2 linked regions of the Callithrix jacchus genome follow. The protein of the gene in region 2 interacts with the protein of the main gene of each other region in a pairwise test. Links are inferred from orthologs where the notes say so. Each region holds a gene or a part of one and is shown on either strand. Other genes may lie near its edges.

What was found.
Region 1: the proteins of HOMER3 (region 2) and SNRPF interact in binary tests that used the Homo sapiens proteins (3 or more experiments, as listed by UniProt). The two-hybrid records come from large-scale screens. The link is inferred for Callithrix jacchus from reciprocal best matches to the Homo sapiens genes HOMER3 and SNRPF.

What each region holds. Positions count from the first base shown.
Region 1 is NC_133510.1:98,937,192-98,947,263, forward strand, and holds the start of SNRPF (small nuclear ribonucleoprotein F), read left to right. Parts: upstream 1-3,225; 5' UTR 3,226-3,354; coding exon 3,355-3,357; intron 3,358-5,290; coding exon 5,291-5,416; intron 5,417-9,386; coding exon 9,387-9,451; intron 9,452-10,047; coding exon 10,048-10,072. UniProt on the Homo sapiens protein: Plays a role in pre-mRNA splicing as a core component of the spliceosomal U1, U2, U4 and U5 small nuclear ribonucleoproteins (snRNPs), the building blocks of the spliceosome.
Region 2 is NC_133523.1:17,624,393-17,633,960, reverse strand, and holds the start of HOMER3 (homer protein homolog 3), read left to right. Parts: upstream 1-313; 5' UTR 314-1,251; intron 1,252-2,519; 5' UTR 2,520-2,587; coding exon 2,588-2,601; intron 2,602-2,684; coding exon 2,685-2,841; intron 2,842-3,081; coding exon 3,082-3,213; intron 3,214-6,261; coding exon 6,262-6,369; intron 6,370-7,546; coding exon 7,547-7,668; intron 7,669-8,534; coding exon 8,535-8,691; intron 8,692-9,042; coding exon 9,043-9,159; intron 9,160-9,256; coding exon 9,257-9,343; intron 9,344-9,568. UniProt on the Homo sapiens protein: Postsynaptic density scaffolding protein. Binds and cross-links cytoplasmic regions of GRM1, GRM5, ITPR1, DNM3, RYR1, RYR2, SHANK1 and SHANK3.

The DNA of each region.
Region 1 (10,072 bases), on a different chromosome or scaffold from region 2:
TCACAGTAGCCAAAATGTGGAAACAACTCAAATCCTGAGCTCAGGAGTTCAAGGTCAGCCTGGGCAAAGTGGTAAGACCCATGGCTACTTAAAAAAAAATAGCAAAAAATTAGCTGAATGTGATGGTGCATGCCTACAGTCCCAGCTACTAGGGAGGGTGAGACACGAGAATTGCTTGAATCTGGGAGATGGAGGTTGCGGTGAGCTGAGATCGCACCACTTAACTCCAGCCTGGGTGACAGAGAGAGACTCCATCTTCAAAAAAAGCAAACAAACAAAAAAACAAACTATATATAGATCTCTTGTAAAAAAACAAAAGTGCATATATTACAATAAAAGTTAATGGTTGTTTTCTTTGGTGCAATTACTAGTGATTTTAGGTTTATTGTTTATAATTTTCTATATTTTCTAAAATTTCATATATTTATAATTAGAAAAATATCAATGACTTATGCCCACTTAATTTTAATAAGGTATTTAAGATTAAAATTTAATATGGGCCAAGTATGGTGGTTCACACCTGTAATCCCAGCACTTTGGGAGGCCAAGGTGGGTGCACCACTGGAGCCCAGGAGTTTGACACCAGCCTGGACAACATAGCGAGACCCATCTCTACAAACAAAATTTTTTTAATTAGCTGCGCGTGGTGGCACATGCCTGTGGTCCCAGCTATTTGGGAGGCTGAGGTGGGAGGATTTCTTGAGCCCAAGAGGTCAAGACTGCAGTGAGCTAAGATCACACCTCTGCACTCCAGCCTGGGTGACAAGTGGGACCCTGTCTCAAAAAAAAAAAAAAAAAAAAATTAACATGAAAAGAAAAACCAACCTTAAATACACTATCTTTACATAGTGTGTTTATTGTAGTATTTTGTTTTACTTCACCGAGAAAACAGCTAAAGATAAAGGTTAGGCTTCTGAAGTACATATTGAGTCTTTGAAAGGTAGCTTAATGAAGTAGAAAAAGCAGTTTTGAAACCCAGGTATGTGGCCCTGAGCAAGTTAGGAGGCAGAAGAATAGGGGCTGGAGGCAGGGAACCTAAGGCCCATTCCTGCTGACTGGGTATCAGACCTACTCCCATTTCAATCCCCCTTTTTTCTGCCTGGCAGTTGAAAAAATGAAAGTACCTCTTATTGGTCTCCTCCCACAACCAGTCAGACTGGTCGTGGGCCTAACTCTTCATTCTGATTGGTCCCCTCCTGCAACCAATCAGACTGGTTGTAGGCCAGTGGGAACATTTTAGAGGGTATTTAAACCCCAGAAAATTCTGTAACCAATGCTCCTGAGCAGCTTGCACTAGGCAGTGTTCACCTCCCCCCCGGAGTGTACTTTTATTTAAAATAAATCTTTGCTTTCGCTGCCTTGCTTTGTTTGTGCATTTTGTTCAAAACGCCAAGAACCCAGACAGCTACCCTCAACCAGTAGCAGTTACCTGCTGGGCCTGCTTCCTCATCTCTAAAACAGGGCTGTCACCCCGAATCAGACGGTGTGGTAAGATTTCCACAATTGTTAAAAGAGCCTGACACATAGTAGGAACCCAAAGTCTATACAAAGACTTAACATTCATGAAACAATAGGCAAACTAAAGGAGAAATCCACTGAAGTTTAGGGTGAATACCTTCTGATAACCTGTTTGGTAAAAACTACACTGAAAATCACTGTCTTGTCAGTGTTCAACATTTATGTGAATAATAATATTTAACGTCTACTGAGCCTTTACAAGGCCAAGCCCCAGCCAGGCTGAGATGGTTCCGTTTTTGAAGCTGCATTCCTGCCCAGGAAACAATGGCCCTCAGTGGTTCAGACACTGCTTAAAACCGGCGATAGAGGCAAGTTCGAATGCAGTCCCTCTCCAAAGTCTTACCCACTGCTCCACAATGCCTCAATACCAAACATTTCACACTCAATTCCAAATCCATCTCTTCAGGGCTGCAAAAAAGCCTCACTTCCCAAAGGGCGAGTTCTCCAAACACTGCATTTAGCATTTCGGATCCGGGTGAGTTGAACTCACTAGGATTACGAGAAAAACTAGTGAAATTCAGATACGACCATTAACATCGAAAGTTTTAATCCGTGAAATACTGCTTACGCCCTTAAGTAATTTCAAATGCACATAAGATGGCCATGCGGGTCTCTGCTGGAGATGCAAAAGAAAGGTGAGCAAACTTAATCAATTATGGCTTTCAGATTTTAGTTAATGGAGGAAATAGCAAGTTTCCACTTGTCATAATTACAGGCATCACTATCATTCTATCATTATTCTAGCACTAATGAAAGACCTCAAGAACATATAAAGCAGCAGTAAAGGGTGCTAAGAAATGACAGTGTGGTCACGTCAACTTGCCCCATGTTACATCCAGGGTGTCAGGGTTCAAACCAGGTCTGTCTGGCTCTAGAACAATTGTTCTCTGCTACCTCCAAATCCTGTGTATATGTTTTCACTAAACTATTTTGTTGTTTATAGATCTGAATTGGAAGCTGTTGAGTACCCTGAACTTAGCAACTAACTGATATAAAGGTATCCCTTATAGAAATCTCAAACTAATTCTTCATTCCTTTCAGGAAGAAGAGTCTTAAGAATATGCATTATAAAACATGTTTCAATAAAGTTATTGAAAAAGAAAAAGAAAGGTGGGAAGTTGGCGGGGGGGCATAACACTGTATACTAGACGCAACCTGACATCGTTTGAAAGAAATTCTGTCCCCTACTCCCTTCGGTGAGATTCGCCGTCCCTAATCTAGTCTGGCTACCCCACACTCCCGATTCCTTTAAAAGGGGTTGAAATGGATGTTGCATTAAAGAAAACCCTCCTGCAGAAAGGACCTGAGGCAGAGACTCCCCTGAATTCTGGAACATGTTGGAAGAGTGAGAAAGGAACTCTGGGACTCCGAACTTATTCTCACGGGTGTAAAAGGACAGAGTAAATCCCCATTAGCCAAGCTGGGGAGAAGTCACATCCGCACATTCTAAAGGGCACACAGCCTCTCCCGGACCGTCCCTAGAAGAGGGGCAGCACATTTAGAAACACTGGCGGGCCTCTAGTCCTTGGCTGCCTCGCGGCGACCCTCAGAGCGGGTTTCCCAAGGCTCAAGCTCCTCTGGCAAGGCGCAAATCGACACCACTGCTGGTTGCTAGGAGATACTGCCCCGCCACCTCCTCCAATCAGCACGCATCTCTTTGCGTCCAATCACAAAGGCCAGAAGGGCCGTGGTGGGAGGTGAAAGGTCATACTCTTGTTTGGCGGCCATTTCTCTTGAAGCTCGGCGGTTCGGGACTTCGGGATCGGCTGGAGTCACGAGGGACGAGCGGCGGCCTGGTTGGCAGCGAATAGCCTGCAGCATTCGCCCGTGGTTACGATGGTAAGGAGAAAGAGAACCGGGGGAGAAGCGGGGAGAAAGAGGAGGGAAACCAGTCTCGCGGGGCCTGATGGTTGCTTCGCGCGTTTCTCATTCATCCGCGTGAGGCGCCGCGCACCCGGTCGCCAGCTCCTTTCACGCTGCCCTTGGGGTTTCTGAGGCGCGTGCTCCTCCCGTTGCCTTTCTGTTTCTAGGAGTGCCCGTGCTGTCTCCTCTTTGTTTGAATCCGAGCCTGGGGTATTTTTGGTTGGGGCTTCAGGGTCGGCGTAAAACTGAAAGAGAGTGCACTTCTCACTTCTCTCCAAAATTCACTTTAATTCCTTGAAAGTAATATTACAGCCATGCTCTAGATTAACTCAGTCGGGTGGGGAAGACAGACCTTAGTCAAAAACCAACAAATATGCAATTGCAAATAACAAGTGCTAAGAAGCATGTAGACCGGAGGCTGTGAGGGTGCACGTTAGACATTACAGGCTTAGTCAGAGATGGCCTCCCTAGGAGGTGGAATTTAACCAGAGACCTAAGTGTCCTGAAATACCACCCTTTAAAGAGCAGGAGGAGTGTACCGAGCACAGGGAATAGGAGCGTAAGACCTGCAGCCGGAAAGAAAGCTTGGTCAGTTGGAGAAATTGACAGAAAGGTACAGCCACTTGCAAGAATGGTGGCTTCTAATTCAATTAGAAGCCATTGAATCATTTTAAGCAGACATATGACATAATTTTATGTGCACTTTGAAAAATAACAGTTGCCGTGGTGGATAATAAATTGGAGAATGTAAACTGGAGATCCATTAGGTTATTGGAGTAGCACCATGCCAAGATCACTCCCAATATGCTTATCTTAGTTTAGTAGCCAAGTTTCTTAGTTCTGTTTTTTCTTTGACTGGTGAGTGAGCAGATTAGGGCCCAAAAAAGTCTGAATTCACTGGAGATGCTAATGGTTTGTTGAATAAACAAACATTAAGTGATTGCTGTAAAGTCAGATAGGACCTAGCCCTACCTTCCACAGTTAAAGACTGTCAAGTGTGATCTGCCCTCTGCTTCCTTCTGCAGTCTTATATTAGGGGCTTTGACTGACAATGCTGAATTCTTTGTATATCCCCAAAATCATGTTGTTCTCTTCCCTCCTTTTACTTAAGTTGCTACCCTTGCCTGGAGCAGCATCTGCCCCCCCCCCGGAAATAAACTCTTATCCTTTAAAACTGAGATATTACTTAAGGCAACCTTTCCTTTTCTGTGGATTGCTGTGGTACCCTTGTGCCTAGCATATCTCCTCTTACTACATTGCAGTATGCAATATAATTATTTGTATGTGAGGAGCTCCCCTCCCTATCTCCAGCTTCTTGACAGGGACTGTTACTTGTTTATTTATTTTTAAGAGACAAAGTGTTGCTCTTGCCCAGGCTGGAGTGCAGTGGCTTGATCATAGCTCACTGCAGCCTTGAACTCCTGGGTTCAAGCAGTTCCCCCACCTTATCCTCCCTAGTAGCTGGGACTACAAGTGTGTACCATCACACCTAATTATTTTTGGTAGGAATTGGGGGGGGTCTCCCTATGTTGCCTGGGTTGGTCTTGAACTCCTGGCTTCAGGTGATTTCCGTGCCTTGGCCTTCCAGAGTGCTGGAATTACAGACACGTGCCTGGCCAGCATTTTTTTTTTTTTAGTGGCTTTATCTTTGCTTCTTTCAAGCTCAGAACAGTGAGTGATGTAGGTAGTCAGTGTTATCTTAAGTGAATAGTGAGTATTTTGTTTTGATGGGTTAAAGGTGAAACTGGCTAACTGGATATTTAAATTTCCCTGGTACTCATCTTCAACAAATAAAAGTGAAAATTATGTTTTCTTCATTTGCACACCAGAAAATATTGGTGATTTGGTAGAAGGGATTTGGTGGTGGGAGGAAAAGAATTAATTGGATCCTTTTTTGTTCTTTGTGCAGAGTTTACCCCTTAATCCCAAACCTTTCCTCAATGGACTAACAGGAAAGCCAGTGATGGTGAAACTTAAGTGGGGGATGGAGTACAAGGGCTACCTGGTATCTGTAGATGGCTACATGAACATGCAGGTAAGCTGTAAAGGTTATAACATGGCATTGATTTTGCTTCACCTTATTCCTCAAAGGTTTAGTCTGACTAATAAGAATACATACAATTAAGTTGACAAATATATGGCAAAATTCAAAAATAAAGTCAAGGCCAGAGAGGATACCGTGATGTACTAGGTACAAGACATGGGCTTAAACCGGAATTCAGCCACAGATTTTATTCCTAGGAGTTAAAGTAAGAAGAGCTCAGACGTTCAATTCATAATAATACCATAAGGGAAACACGCTACTTTGCTGGAGAAAACAAAACTTTTACCATCATTTAGCCCTGAAAGAAAGTTTTCAAGTGAAATTTTTGAGTCTTTTAATGAATGCTAAAGGTACAACACCAAGCTATTAAAGAAATTCATTCCTTCAAGGGAAAGACAGATCTGCCAAAGGAATTGAACTGACTGTATGTCAGTTTCTGTAAATGATTTAGCCATGTGTTTTGGTAGGGTTTTTTGTAATTTTCTTTTTATTGTGGTCAAACATACATTAAAATTTTACCATTCTAACCATTTTTAAATGTGTAATTCAGTGGCATTAAGTATCTTCACACTGTTCTGCAACCATCACCACTATCCATTTCCAGAACTTTTTTTATCATCCCAAAGTGAAATTCTTTGCCCATTAAACAATAATTTTCCATTCCTTTCTCTACCTAACTAACCCCTGGTAACCACTATTCTACGTGTCTATGAACTGTGCATAATACCTCATATAAGTGGAATCGTATATTTATCCTTTTGTGTCTGGCTTGTTTTACTTAGCGTAGTGTTTTATTCAAGGTTCATCCATGTTGTAGCATGTGTCAGAATTCCATTCCTTTTTTAATTGAATAATATTTCATTATATGGATATACCACCTTCTGTTCCATTTGCCTCTTGGTGGATGCTGGGTTGCTTCCCTCTTTGGACTGTAGTAAATAATGCTGCTGTGAAGACGATTGTACAAATATCTGTTCAAGTCTTGTTTTCAGCTCTTTGGGGTATATACCCAGAAGTGGAATTACTGGATTACTGGTAATTCTATGTTTAATTTTTTAAGGAGGCCAAGCATGGTGGCTCATGCGTATAATTCCAGCACTTGGGGAGGCTGAGGCGGTGTACTGCTTGAGCCCAGGAGTTTGAAATCAACCTGTGCAACATAGTGAAACTACATCTCTCCAAAAAAATACAAAAATTAGCTAGGCATGGTGGTGTGGTCACCTGTATTCCTAGCTACTCAGGAGGCTGAGGTGGGAGGATCACCTGAGCCTGGGGAGGCTGAAGCTGTAGTGAGCCATGATCACACCACTGCACTCTAGCCTGGATGGCAGAATAAGACCCTGTCTCAAAAAAACTTTTTTTTTCTGTCACACTATTTTCCACAGCAGCTACGTGGCTTTTATATACCTACCAGCAATACACAAGGGTTCCAATTTCTCCGCATCCTCACCAACCCTTGTAATTTTCTATGGGTGTTTATAAAATAGTTAACCTAATGGGTGTGAAGTGTATCTTACTGTGGTTTGGATTTGCATTTTCCTAATGACTAATGAAGAGCACCTTTTCGTGTGTTTATTGGCCATTTGTTTATCTTTGGAGAAATGCCTGTTTATGTCTTTTGCACATTTAAAAAATTAGTTGTTTGGGTTTTTTGTTGTTTTTAATAGTAGTAGTTTCCAGGCAGGTTTTTAAAGGCTATCAAGATGGTTGGTCAATCCAGTCATGAACCCTGGGATTCCATACTTGAAAGAAGAGTACTAAAAGGAGTACTTAAGTAGGCAGAGAGCTGTGATTTTCCTGAAGCATTTACCACCTAAGCATAGGACACTAAGGTCCCCAAAGCGTAATTTGGGTTTGGAAAATTCCCTAAAACAGGAATCATTTACCAAGACCATAGAAAAATCTGGGACGTAAATGAATTGTGATGAAAATATTCGGGAATTAGTGGTGATAGTTGCACAGCTTTTTGAATATACTAAAAACCACTGAACTATACACTTTAAAAGAGTGGATTTTATGCTATGGAAATTAACATCTCAATAATAAAAGAATTACCACTTAATATTTGTTTTAGAATCAATATAGCTTGCTAGTGAGCCTGCAAGAGTTACAAAATGTCTGGGTAGCCAACCACTTTGAGTAGTCAACCATATTGATACCAGCATTTGAATTTGTTCACTTAGCAAATATTTATTGATTCCCATTATGTGACTGGCACTGTGAATATAGCATTGAACAAAGCAAAGTCCCTGCCCTCCAGAGTTTATGTTTTAATAGTGGGAGGTGGTAATATAATGTGATAACAGGTGTGATAGATGCCATCCATGAAGAAAAAGGGGGTAGACAGTATGTGCAATATTATATAGGACAATCTCTCTGAGGCAACAAATTCTGGAAGATACCAGAATTAATGTACAACTCAGTTGAGTGTCTGGGGAAAAGCATCGCAGTTTGAGGGAATGGCAAGTACAAAGGCCCTGTGGTGGAAGCATGCTGGGTATGTTCAAGGCATAGCAGGAAGGCCAGAGCAGATTGAGTTAAGGGAAGAATGATAGAAAGTTAGGCTGGAATGGTGGACATAAGAGCCTGTTGAGTGATGGTGAAGACTGAATTTAATACATGATAGAAAGTATTTGGAGCATTATTGTTTAGAAACCAGTTAAATGTTGTAATTACCTTTTACAGAAAATTAATTGCTCTTAATATTATTTCTTATAGCTGTTACATACAAACTAATTGTCTCAATAACCTCATACATTTCAGACAAAACTGTATCATCTGGATAATTAGATAACTTTTTGTTTTCTGTAAGAGGGAGTAACATCAGTAGTAGTGTTCATTAACATATTTTTCATGCTTTATGTTACATCCTAATTTAATCCTTATTGTTAAGCCCTATTTTTCTTTTCCACATGCTTAGTTGTGAAGGAAACATCCCTCTCCCTTCACTCCTCTTAGTTCCGTCTCTGAGTCCCAGGTGGCATTGATTGTGATTTTTGTTTTTAATTACAAGTAAAGCTTATTACCTATATGTGTAGAAGGAAAACTAAACATTTTGATATAAAATTAGAAATAATAAGAGTTCAACAAAATAACTGTAAATGTGAAACTTAACTATTTAACTTTCTATTAAGAACTTCTTTTTCCCTGTTTATTAGTACAAAATTTTAAAAAAATTATTATTCATTGGCCAGATGTGGTGGCTCATACCTATAATCCCAGTACTTTGGGAGGCCAAGGCGGGAGGATCACTTGAGGGCAGAAGTTCAAGACCAGCTTGGGCAATATAGCAAAATTGTTTTGAAGTAGCCAGGCTTGGTGGCACATGCTTTCTATCATAGCTACTCAGGAGGTTGACGTGGGAGGAGCCTAGGAGTTCGAGGTTTTGGTCAGCTATGATTGTGCTACTGCACTCCAGCCTGGGCAACAGAGTGAGACCCTGTTTCTTAAAAGGCAAGAAAAGAAGAAAATTCTTACTTAATTACCTGCTTTGGATGTTGCCTAATATGAAAGTATTTGGCATGTTAGCCATAGCTTTTGTAACCCATTTGGACACCTCAGTATGATTTATAATGTTGACTCTGAGAAAACAACATTTGGTGCTTTAGAATGAATTTTCAGAAAACTTTTTAATCACAATTTATTCATAAATTAGAGACTGCTTCCACACAGTTTTGATATCTGAAATATTACGTAACCTGGGAGATTCAGAAACTTATGTTGAAACAAGCTTTATTATATATTTGTTCTACATCCATGAATGTTAATTTTACTGAAGGTTTATATGAAACCAAAAGTCCTACAGTAGTAATAGAAAGCTCATCTTCTGTTTATTAATTATAGATAGATTTGAGTTGTTGGTGTAGAAAGGTATCAGTTAATAAGTTCTCTCACAGTATTAGCTGTATTGTAATATTTTCCTCCTGTGTGATTATACTAATATATTTCTTTTTATTGAAAGCTTGCAAATACAGAAGAATACATAGATGGAGCATTGTCTGGACATCTGGGTGAAGTTTTAATAAGGTAAAAAACAGCAGTGGTATATGTAAGGAGTTACTGGTGAGCATTAGGAATACCTGTTTTAAATATATTAGAGCCTCAATTTTGGAGTTACTTATTTTTAAAAAATCACTATTAACTTATAATACTTTACAATTGGACTTCAGAAGTCTTTGAAATTGCTAAACTTGTCAAAGATAAGTTTTAAAATGCTTTAGAACTGGCCAAAAGATTTTTCTAGTGTTGATGTTAAATTTTCTGGCTCTTAGCTATATAACCTTTTTCAGTGGCCTTCATTGGAGGCACTTAGTTTTGAATTTTAGTTGGGTCTGGCTGTTTGTAAGAATTTTTGTACTAGCTTCAAAGCTCCAAATTCTGATAATTATTTCCCTTGGAAAATTATAAAGATATCATTTTATAACAACCATATGGTTGAAAATCAGTGCCATGTGCTTTTCAACTTATCTATGTAAAACGTTTTTTAAAAACAAATATATATTTTTTGAAAGACAGGAATATTATAAATATAGCATTCAGTATTTTCATAATAAAAAATATAGTAATTCAGATCATACATGGATTCTGGTTGAAACAACAAAATGGACTTTTTCTATTTACAGGTGTAATAATGTCCTTTATATCAGA
Region 2 (9,568 bases):
CAGGAGGGTGAGGTCACATCGCCGTCCCTGCAACTGTATCTCTACATCTGCTTCCTGTCTCTTTGCCTGTCTCCGCCGTGTCTCTTTCTGGGTCTCTTTCTCATCCCAGATGTCCCTCTCCTCTGTCTCTCTGTCCCCACCCTCTGTTCCCAGTCCCGAACCCCCGCAACGCCCCAGTCCCCCTCCACCGCCCTTAGCCCCCTCCCCCAATCCCCCGCCCCTCCCCCCACCTGGCCCGGTGCAAAAAGCCGGCAGGGGGCGCAGCGGGGCGGCCTCGGCGGCCCCGGGAGGCGGGGCGGGCGGCGGCCGCGTCGGGACCCGCCGCGATGGGACCGGAGGCGGCGCGGGCGGCGGCGGCGGCGCAGACAAAGACGCGGGCGGCGCGGAGGGCGGCGCGGAGGGCGCGGGCCCGGGAGCCAGGGAGCGAGCGGGGCGCCCGGCTGCGCGGAGTCAGCGCCGCGGGGGCCGCACCCGACTTGCGACCGAACACTCGCTGGGCGCCGACCCGGCAGGGTGAGCCCGGCCGGCCGAGACTGCGCCGCGAGCGCGGGGGCCTCGAAGTCGCGGGGCCAAGGGAAGGGCGCGGGGGGTCCCCAGAAGTTCCGGACCTGGGGACTGGGAGCGGCGCGAGGGGCCCCCAAGTTCCAGGGCCGGAGGGAGCGCAGGGGTCCCGAAGTTCTGGAGTCGGGGTCGGTGAGGGGACCGCGCGGGAGGTTCCCAAAGTTCTGGACCCGGCGTTGGAGGAGGCTGCGAAGGAGTCCCCAAAGTTTCGGACCTGGGGTGGGAGCCAGGCGCGGGAGGGGCCCCGACGTCCGGGACCAGGGACTGGAAGGGTGGCAGGGGGTCCACCTCGAAGTTTAGGAGTCTGGGACAACGAGGGGGTCCCCAAAGTTCCGGACCGGGTTAGAGGGGGCGGCACGGAGGGCAGTCCCCGGAGTTCCGGACCTGGGGTTGGAGGAGGCAGAAGAGGTATCCCCGAAGTTCTGTACCCAGCGACGGGGCTGTCGCGGGAATCTCGGAAGTTCCAGGGTCAGGGCGCGCGTCCCGGAGTTGGGTCGCGCACTGGGTGTCCTCCCGCCTCGGGTGGGGACTGGATCCTGAATGAATATTGGCCCCCTCCCCGCCTCCGGAGTGGGGTGCATGGGACGGGGCCTCACCCACCGGCCAGATTGGGGATCCCGGGCACCGGGCGGTGTCGGACCCCCCTTCGGGAGCCCCGTGGCCGGCGGCATCCGAGCGCATGACTAGTTGGTGAGTAACTTTCCCCAAACGCTGCAAGTCGCAGCAGGAGCGGCCGGACCGGAAGGGCCTGGGTTCCGGGGACCCCTGCGTCCCCCAACTCCCACCTGGCGCAGGACCTACCTCCGGTCCAGGCCAGAGCTCCCGCCCCACCCCCACTCAGGGGCTCCAGTTTCAGACCCTGTGACCGGCGCAGCAGCTGCCCAGGACAGGATGGGGGGGCATACCCCCTTTGACCATAGAGGCTGCTGGGCTGGGGCCTCCCCGCCTATCTTCCCCCTCCCCCAAATCCTTCCTTGGTCCCCTGCACATCCGGGTGGCTGGATGGACCAATGGGGAGGTTGGGGAGCCCTGTTCTCCCAGTGGTGGCATTGGGATTGGCATTCTGCTCTGCTCCCTGTGATGGGCACTGGGATTGGCTGTTTGGCTACATCTTGTCTTTTTAACTTGGCTGGGGGCTGCCTGGGGATTTGGAGTCTGGGCTGCCAGGTGTGCCTCTAGCCTAGGGTGGGAGCTGGGGGGGTCCCTCTGCAGGGCGCAGTGGGGAACTGGTCTCCCAGTACTACACACCTCTCAATGCCCCATTTTTGATGGAGAACCTCTCTCTGGCCGGTCATGGGTGAATGGAAAGAACTCAGCAGATATGTGGCCTTCACAGCTCAGCCCAGGATGGAGGGGGCTTCACGGGGCGAGGTGGGGGGTGCCGTAACTAGGACGATGAGAGATTTACATCTGAATGTCAACAGCAGCCACCTGGCTCCTCTCAGAGGGCCATCTCCTGTACAGGGTGTGGTGAGGGCTTCCCCCAGACAAAGAAAGATGGGGTCCACTTGCTCTGAGTGATCTATAATGATAATCTGGCCTTTTCATTTCTTTCTATCATTTCTTTGTTTTGTGGAGACAGGGTCTTGCTCTCTTGCCCAGGCTGGAGTGCAGTGGTGCTATCATGGCTCACTGCACTGCGGCCTTGACCTCCTGGGCTCAAGCGATCCTCCCACCTCAGCCTCCCCAGTAGCTGGGACCACAGGCACATGCCACCACACCTGGCTAATTGTTTAAATTTTGGGTAGGGGTGGGGTCTCACCATGATGCTCAGGCTGGTCTCGAACTCCTGGGCTCAAATGATCCTCCTGACTCAGCCTCCCAAAGCACACCCAGTGCTTTGGGCCTCTCTTGCCTTTTTGATGGAAAGTTCTGTGATAATGGGTCCTGAGCTGGAACCTGCTTGGCTTCCCTCAACCTGGCCTGAGGGACACTCATAGTCCCTCCTCTCTCCCTAGGGGCCAAACCAGCGGCTCCTGCCACCTCTCTGGCTGCCCCCTAGAGCCTGCCCAGCCCCGCCTGACCAATGTCCACAGCCAGGTGAGCTCCCACCTCCCCAGCCTGGACCTGAGCTTTCTAAGGGGGCATGTCCGGCCCCTACTGATCACCCTCTCCCCACACAGGGAGCAGCCAATCTTCAGTACACGGGCGCACGTGTTCCAAATTGACCCGGCCACCAAGCGAAACTGGATCCCGGCGGGCAAGCATGCACTCACGGTCTCCTATTTCTACGATGCCACCCGAAATGTCTACCGCATCATCAGCATTGGGGGCGCCAAGGTCCGGGTGGGGTCTAGGTGGGGCAGAGGCACCAGGGGTCCTGGTGACACGCGTGGGTCTGGTGGCTGGCTTGCTGTGTGCCCAAGGGATGGGAAACTCTGAGCCTTCCGGGGCCCTAGTCTGTCCCCTGAAATGGCTCAGAGTAAAGACTTTCCAGAGGCTAATACAAGGTGATACCTGGGGGTTTCATGTCTCGTACTATCCGTCCCATCAACCTTGAACTTTGTCCCCCAACCCCAGGCAATCATCAACAGCACTGTCACTCCAAACATGACCTTTACCAAAACCTCTCAGAAGTTTGGGCAGTGGGCGGACAGTCGCGCCAACACTGTTTACGGCCTCGGCTTTGCCTCCGAACAGCATCTGACACAGGTGGGCCGGGTGAGGGGGAGGGGGAGGGAGGGGATGAGGCTGAGCCCAGTTCTCCTGGGCAGGCTCTGGGACCTCGAGCAGGTCCTCTATCTTCCCATCTGCAGGATGGGCATGTGGGATGAGATGAGCTGAAAGCCCCTTTAAGGTTCACTGGTTTGAGTCCTAGTTCATTTTTTTGTTTTTTTTTTTTTGAGACGGGCTGGAGTGATCTCAGCTCACTGCAACCTCTACCTCTCCGGCTCGAGCGATTCTCCTGCCTCAGCCTCCCGAGTAGCTGGTGCCCACCACCACGCCAGTCTAATTTTTTGTATTTTTAGTAGAGGTGGGGTTTTGTCATGTTAGCCAGGCTGGTCCTGAACTCATGACTTCAAATGATCTGCCCACCTCCGCCTACAAAGTGCTGGGATTACAGATGTGAGCCACGGCCCTCCTCTAGCTCTAATTTTGGATATACCCTGATCCTCTATGGGCCATCAAGTGGGTGGCTGGGCTGGACACTTCCCCACATGCCCCAGTGATATTTTCATCGTCACCTCCCTCTGCCCTGTGCCCTCTCTATACTTCCATTATGATCTTTATCTATGCTTTTGTTGATGATGAGTGCTTTCATGAAGATTTTCTTCTTCTTCTTTTTTTTTTTTTTTTTTTTGAGATAAAGTCTCACTCTGTCCCCTAGGTTGGAGTGCAGTGACATGATCTCGGCTCACTGCAACCTCTGCCTCCTGGGTTCAAGTGATTCTCCCACCTCAGTCTCCAGAGTAGCTGGGATTACAGGCGCCTGCCACCTTGCCTGGCTAATATTTGTGTTTTTAGTAGAGACAGGGTTTTACCATGTTGGCTAGGATGGTCTTGAACTCCTGACCTCAGGTGGTCCACCTGCCTCAGCCTCCCAAAGTGCTGGGATTACAGGCATGAGCCACCACGCCTGGCCTTTTTTGTTTTCTTCTAGAAGTTTAAGAATTTTCCTTCCTTTCTTTTTTTTTTGATGAAGTTTCACTCTTGTTGCCCAGGCTGGAGTGCAGTGGCGTGATCTCGGCTCACTGCAACCTCCTCCTCCTGGGTTCAAGCAATTATGCTGCCTCAGTCTCCATAGTAGCTGGGATTACAGGTGAATGCCACCCCACCCAGAAAATTGTTATATTTTAAGTAGAAATGGGGTTTCACCATGTTCAAACTGTTTACCTCAGGTGATCCGCCCCACTCGGCCTCCCAAAGTGCTGGAATTATAGGCATGAGCCACCGTACCCAGCCTAAAAAATTATTTTTTAACTAAGAAAATTTATTTTAAAACTAGGGGGATGGGATGGGGGGAAACATATTCTATCCTAACTGGGAAATTTATCGCTCGTCATAAATAGGTAGTAAATATACACATTTAATACAACAAAAACAAGAATGGGATGATTTCTTTCTCATTGACTTTCCATGTCTCCTAGAGCCTGAGACCTAATCTCTTTGTTATAAAGGAATACTAACAGGTGTTAAAGACAGAATAGCACCCACCTGAGGCTCTCTTTGTTGAAATAGGCTTTATAAAGAAAAGGGGCCAGATGTGGTGGCTCATTACCTGTAATCCCCACACTTCCTGGGAGGCCAAGGTCAAAGGATCACGTGAGCTCAAAATTTCAAGACCAGCGACCCCATCTCCAAAAATATATATATATAAAAATATAAAAGGTCAGGTGTGGTGGCTCATGTCTGTAATCCCAGCACTTTGGGATGCCAAGGCAGGCGGATCACGAGGTCAGGAGTTTGAGACTAGCCTGGCCAATATGTGAGACCCTTGTCTCTAGAAAAAATACAAAAATTAGCTGAGTATGGTGGCACATGCCTGTAGTCCCAGCTATTCAGGAGGCTAAGGCAGAAGAATCGTTTGAACTTGGGAGACAGAGGTTGCAGTGAGCCAAGATTGCGCCACTACACTCTGGCCTGGGTGACAGAGTGAGACTCCGTCTCAAAAAAAAGAAAACAATGGCAGGCACAGTGGCTCATGCCTGTAATTCCAGCACTTTGGGAGGCCAAGGTGTATGGATCATGAGGTCAAGAGTTTGAGACCAGCCTGGCCAAGATGGTGAAACCCCACTTCTACTAAAAATATAAAAATTAGCCGGGCATTATGGTGTGCGCCTATAGTCCCAGGTACTCTGGAGCCTGAGACAGAAGAATCGCTTGAACCCTGGAGGCAGAGGTTGCAGTAAGCTGAGATTGTGCCACTGCACTCCAGCCTAGGTGACAGAGCGAGATTCCATCTCAAAAAAAAAAAGGAGGAAAAGGGCCATTCTGGGCAACATGGCTAGATCCTGTCTCTACAAAAAGTTCACAAAATTAGCCAGGCATGATGGTACACACCTGGAGTCCCAGCTACTTGGTGGAGGGGTTAGGTGGAAGGGTCACTTGAGCCAGGGAGGTCAAGGTTGCAGTGAGCCAAGATCACGCCACTGCATTCCAGCCTGGGTGACTAATTGAGACCCTTTCCTAAAAAGAAAAAGAGGAGGCCGGGCGCAGTGGCTCACACCTATAATCCCAGCACTTTGGGAGGCCAAGTCAGGTGGATCACAAGGTCAAGAGATCGAGACCATCCTGGCCAACAAGGTGAAACCCTGTCTCTACTAAAAATACAAAAATTAGCTGGGCATGGTGGCGCGTGCCTGTAGTCCCAGCTACTCGGGAGGCTGAGGCGGGAGAATTGCTTGAACCCAGGAGGCGGAGGTTGCGGTGAGCCGAGATTGCGCCATTGCACTCCAGCCTGGGTAACAAGAGCGAAACTCCATCTCAAAAAAAAAGAAGAAAAGAAAAGAAAAAGAGGAAAAGGGAATTCCTTTCCCTTTCTCAATGTGGCCCAATGTATTAAAATGCCACCTTCGTGATCTGATGCCACCTGCCCACCCACCATGGTACATCATTTTTCAGACCTTCTCTCCTTCTTCCACAGTGTGTGATGAGAGAATGGGTACAGTTCCAAAGTGACAGGGCTGTCGCTGGGTGGCGGTTACCTGGTTTGTGGGGATGGGCTGGGGGTTGACTGTCTGTTCCTCCCCACTCCCCTAGTTTGCCGAGAAGTTTCAGGAAGTGAAGGAAGCAGCCAGGCTGGCCAGGGAGAAATCTCAGGATGGCGGGGAGCTCACCAGTCCAGCCCTGGGGCTCGCCTCCCACCAGGTCAGCACTCCCTGCCCCCCTATGCTTCCTGGGCACCTGTGAGTCAACCAGGCCCAGGATTGGGGGGACCTTGATATTAGGAGACCAGGCACTGTGCTAGTCCTCAAGACCCAATGCTCCCAGATGACCTAAAGTTAGACCCATGGCAGGGGCCATGGAGGAGGGGTGTGGAGCATGTCATGGAGGGTCTGGGCCTTGCCTGGGGTCGGCAGGGGGCACCCAGTAGGTCCCAGTAGCAAAACCAGCTCAGATGGCAGAATGGAAGACTAGAAATTGAAATAGCTAAGTGTGGCCAGGCGCAGTGGCTTATGCCTATAATCCCAGCAATTTTGGAGGCCAAGGTGGGAGGATCGCTTGAGTCCAGGAGTTTGAGACCAGCCTGGCCAACATGGTGAAACCCCATCTCTACTAACAAATACAAAAATTAGCCAGGCGTGTCGGCGTGCACCTGTAATCCCAGCTACTTGGGAGGCTGAGGCAGGAGAATTGCTTGAACCCAGGAAGTGGAGGTTGCAGTCAGCCCAGATCATGCCACTGTACTCCAGCCTGGTGACACAGTGTGACAGAAAGAAATGGCTAAGTGTGAGGCACAGCAATGAACTGGCCCTGTGTGTTTTCCCACATTAATTTATTCAGCATCATTTATTGAGCGCCTGCTGTGTACCAGGCCCAGGGCTGTGCACAGGGGTTGCAGAGATTTAGAAAAACAGGCTGAACTCTACCCTCAGAGCCAGCGGTCCAGGCTTTGGGGTGGCTCATGAAACACAAATTCAGCCTGGGCAGGGCTTCCTGCTGAAATCCTAAACGGGCCACAGGGAACAGAACAGGGAAGGGAACAGCATGGAGCTGTCCGATTGTCCCTCTCCCCTACCTTGGAGGTTCTAAGTATCTTGGTTTAGACTAACCTGCATCAGACTTGCTCCTAGGGGTGGTGAAACCCCAGGAAGGCAAGGCTGAGGGCATGGGCCTGGAACTCTCAGCCTAGGGGCCACAGGGAGCCATGGAGGGTGGGTGAGATGGGGAGGGACACATTCGGATCCGGTGCTGTGAAGGACCTGCTTAGGGTGCATAGGTCAGTTGGACCCCCTGATGTGACGACCCCGGTCACATCAGCCTTGATCCCAGCCACTGACAGAAGCTACTACTCATCGTGACCTGCTCTTTTCCCCGTGCACAGGTGCCCCCGAGTCCCCTCGTCAGTGCCAACGGCCCGGGTGAGGAGAAACTGTTCCGCAGTCAGAGCGCTGACGCCCCCGGCCCCACAGAGCGCGAGCGACTCAAGAAGATGCTGTCCGAGGGGTGAGGGGCGGGGCTTGGGGCGCGGCAGGGGACGGGGTGGGGATGCGGGACTTGGAGGCGGTTCTCGAAAGCCAAGGGAGTGCCAGGGACTGCGGGATCTAACTGTGGACCCAAGACCTGGGAAAGGGGAGGAGCTGATCCCGCTGCTGCTCCATCCAGAGCCGACCCCGCCCACGGCTTTGGCAGGCCGGTCTGTATTGAACCGGTCCCTGTCTCCTGGCTGATAACCTCGCCCCATCCATGCCTCTCGGGCTTAGGATAAACCTGGGGCGCCTCCCCACCCCGACCACGCCCCCCTTGGCTGACTCTCCTCAACCTCCCAACCCTCCTCTGCCATCCCGACAGTGTTACTGGGCGGACCCCATGTGCCCACTTCTTTGACCAGGTCCCTGACAAGACCCCGCCTCTTCGGGACTGCCCCATCCCCAAGCTTCGCACTATTTTGGCTGCGCTCCTAGCCCAGCCCAGTGTCGCCACGTCCCCAGCACACCGTGGCCCTGAGTCCATCCCCTGGCCCTACGCCACCCCACCCTTGGCCCTGCCCCCTACCCAGCATTGTCCTTGACACCACCCCCAGCCCAATCTCGCGCCTGGCCACGCACCAGCCCACACCACCCACCTCTGGCCCCGCCCCCTAGTGGAGCATCGCCACTGACTCCACCCCCAGGTCAGTGCCACCCCACCCTGGCCCTGCGCCCTAGTTCAACCTCACACCCTCTCCAAGCTTCGTCCTCACCCAAGCCCAGAGCCATCCCAACCCCTGGCCCCGATCCCAACCCCTGGCCCGATCCCAACCCCAGCATTGCCCTCTGACTGCCCCCGCTCTAGCCCCATGTCACCCCCTGCCGACCCTTGCGTTTCTGCAGCTCCGTGGGCGAGGTACAGTGGGAGGCCGAGTTCTTCGCGCTGCAGGACAGCAACAACAAGCTGGCAGGCGCCCTGCGGGAGGCCAACGCAGCCGCAGCCCAGTGGAGGCAGCAGCTGGAGGCTCAGCGTGCAGAGGCTGAGCGGCTGCGGCAGCGGGTAAGGGCACCCCCTCCCAAAGAGAGCCCCCCACCTGACCCGGGCAACTGTGGAGCCCACGCCTCTGCCAGTCCCATCTGCCCTGGGTGCATGGACTGGCCGGGTGACCTCAGCAGGTCACTGTCCCAGCCCCAGTTCCTTGCTCTGTAAAATGCGTGTGAGACAATGCCAACTTCAGAGGGTGATCAGACCCTAAAGTCCAAGCTACGTGAGTGGGGGAGGTGCCACCAACCAAGGGAGTTGGGTGCTCGGTCCTGGATGTGGCTGGACAGGAGGCAGAGTCCCTAGAGGTTGGGGGAGCAAGGGAGAGTGCAGGCAGGGGTGGTAGGGGCTGCTATTCCTGTCCCACAGGTGGCTGAGCTGGAGGCCCAGGCAGCTTCAGAGGTGACCCCAGCCAGTGAGAAGGAGGGGCCGGGCCAGGGCCAGTCACTGGAGCAGCTGGAAGCTCTGGTGCAAACCAAGGACCAGGTGAGCGCCAAGTATGGTTCCCGGGCCTCGTCCTCCCTCACCTCCAGAGGGAAAGCCAGGACCCCCAGAACAGACCCTGGGAACTCTTTTCCTCTAGGAGATCCAGACCCTGAAGAGTCAGACTGGGGGGCCCCGAGAAGCCCCAGAGGCTGCCGAGCGCGAGGAGACTCAGCAGAAGGTGCAGGTGTGTGTGGGCGCCAGGAGGTGGGGTGAAGGTGGGTGACCATCACCTCAACAGACAATTGGGACGATCTACCTAAGATGATAAAGTAGTATTGGGAGTCCCAGGCCCGCGCCAGGCCTGATGGCCGGCAGGCGCTGTGTGAACAGTGGGTTCAGCAGGCAATCTCGAGTCCCGGCTGCATTCCCACGCCAGACCCTGTCATTTCCTCCTGTTCTCAGCCGGAAA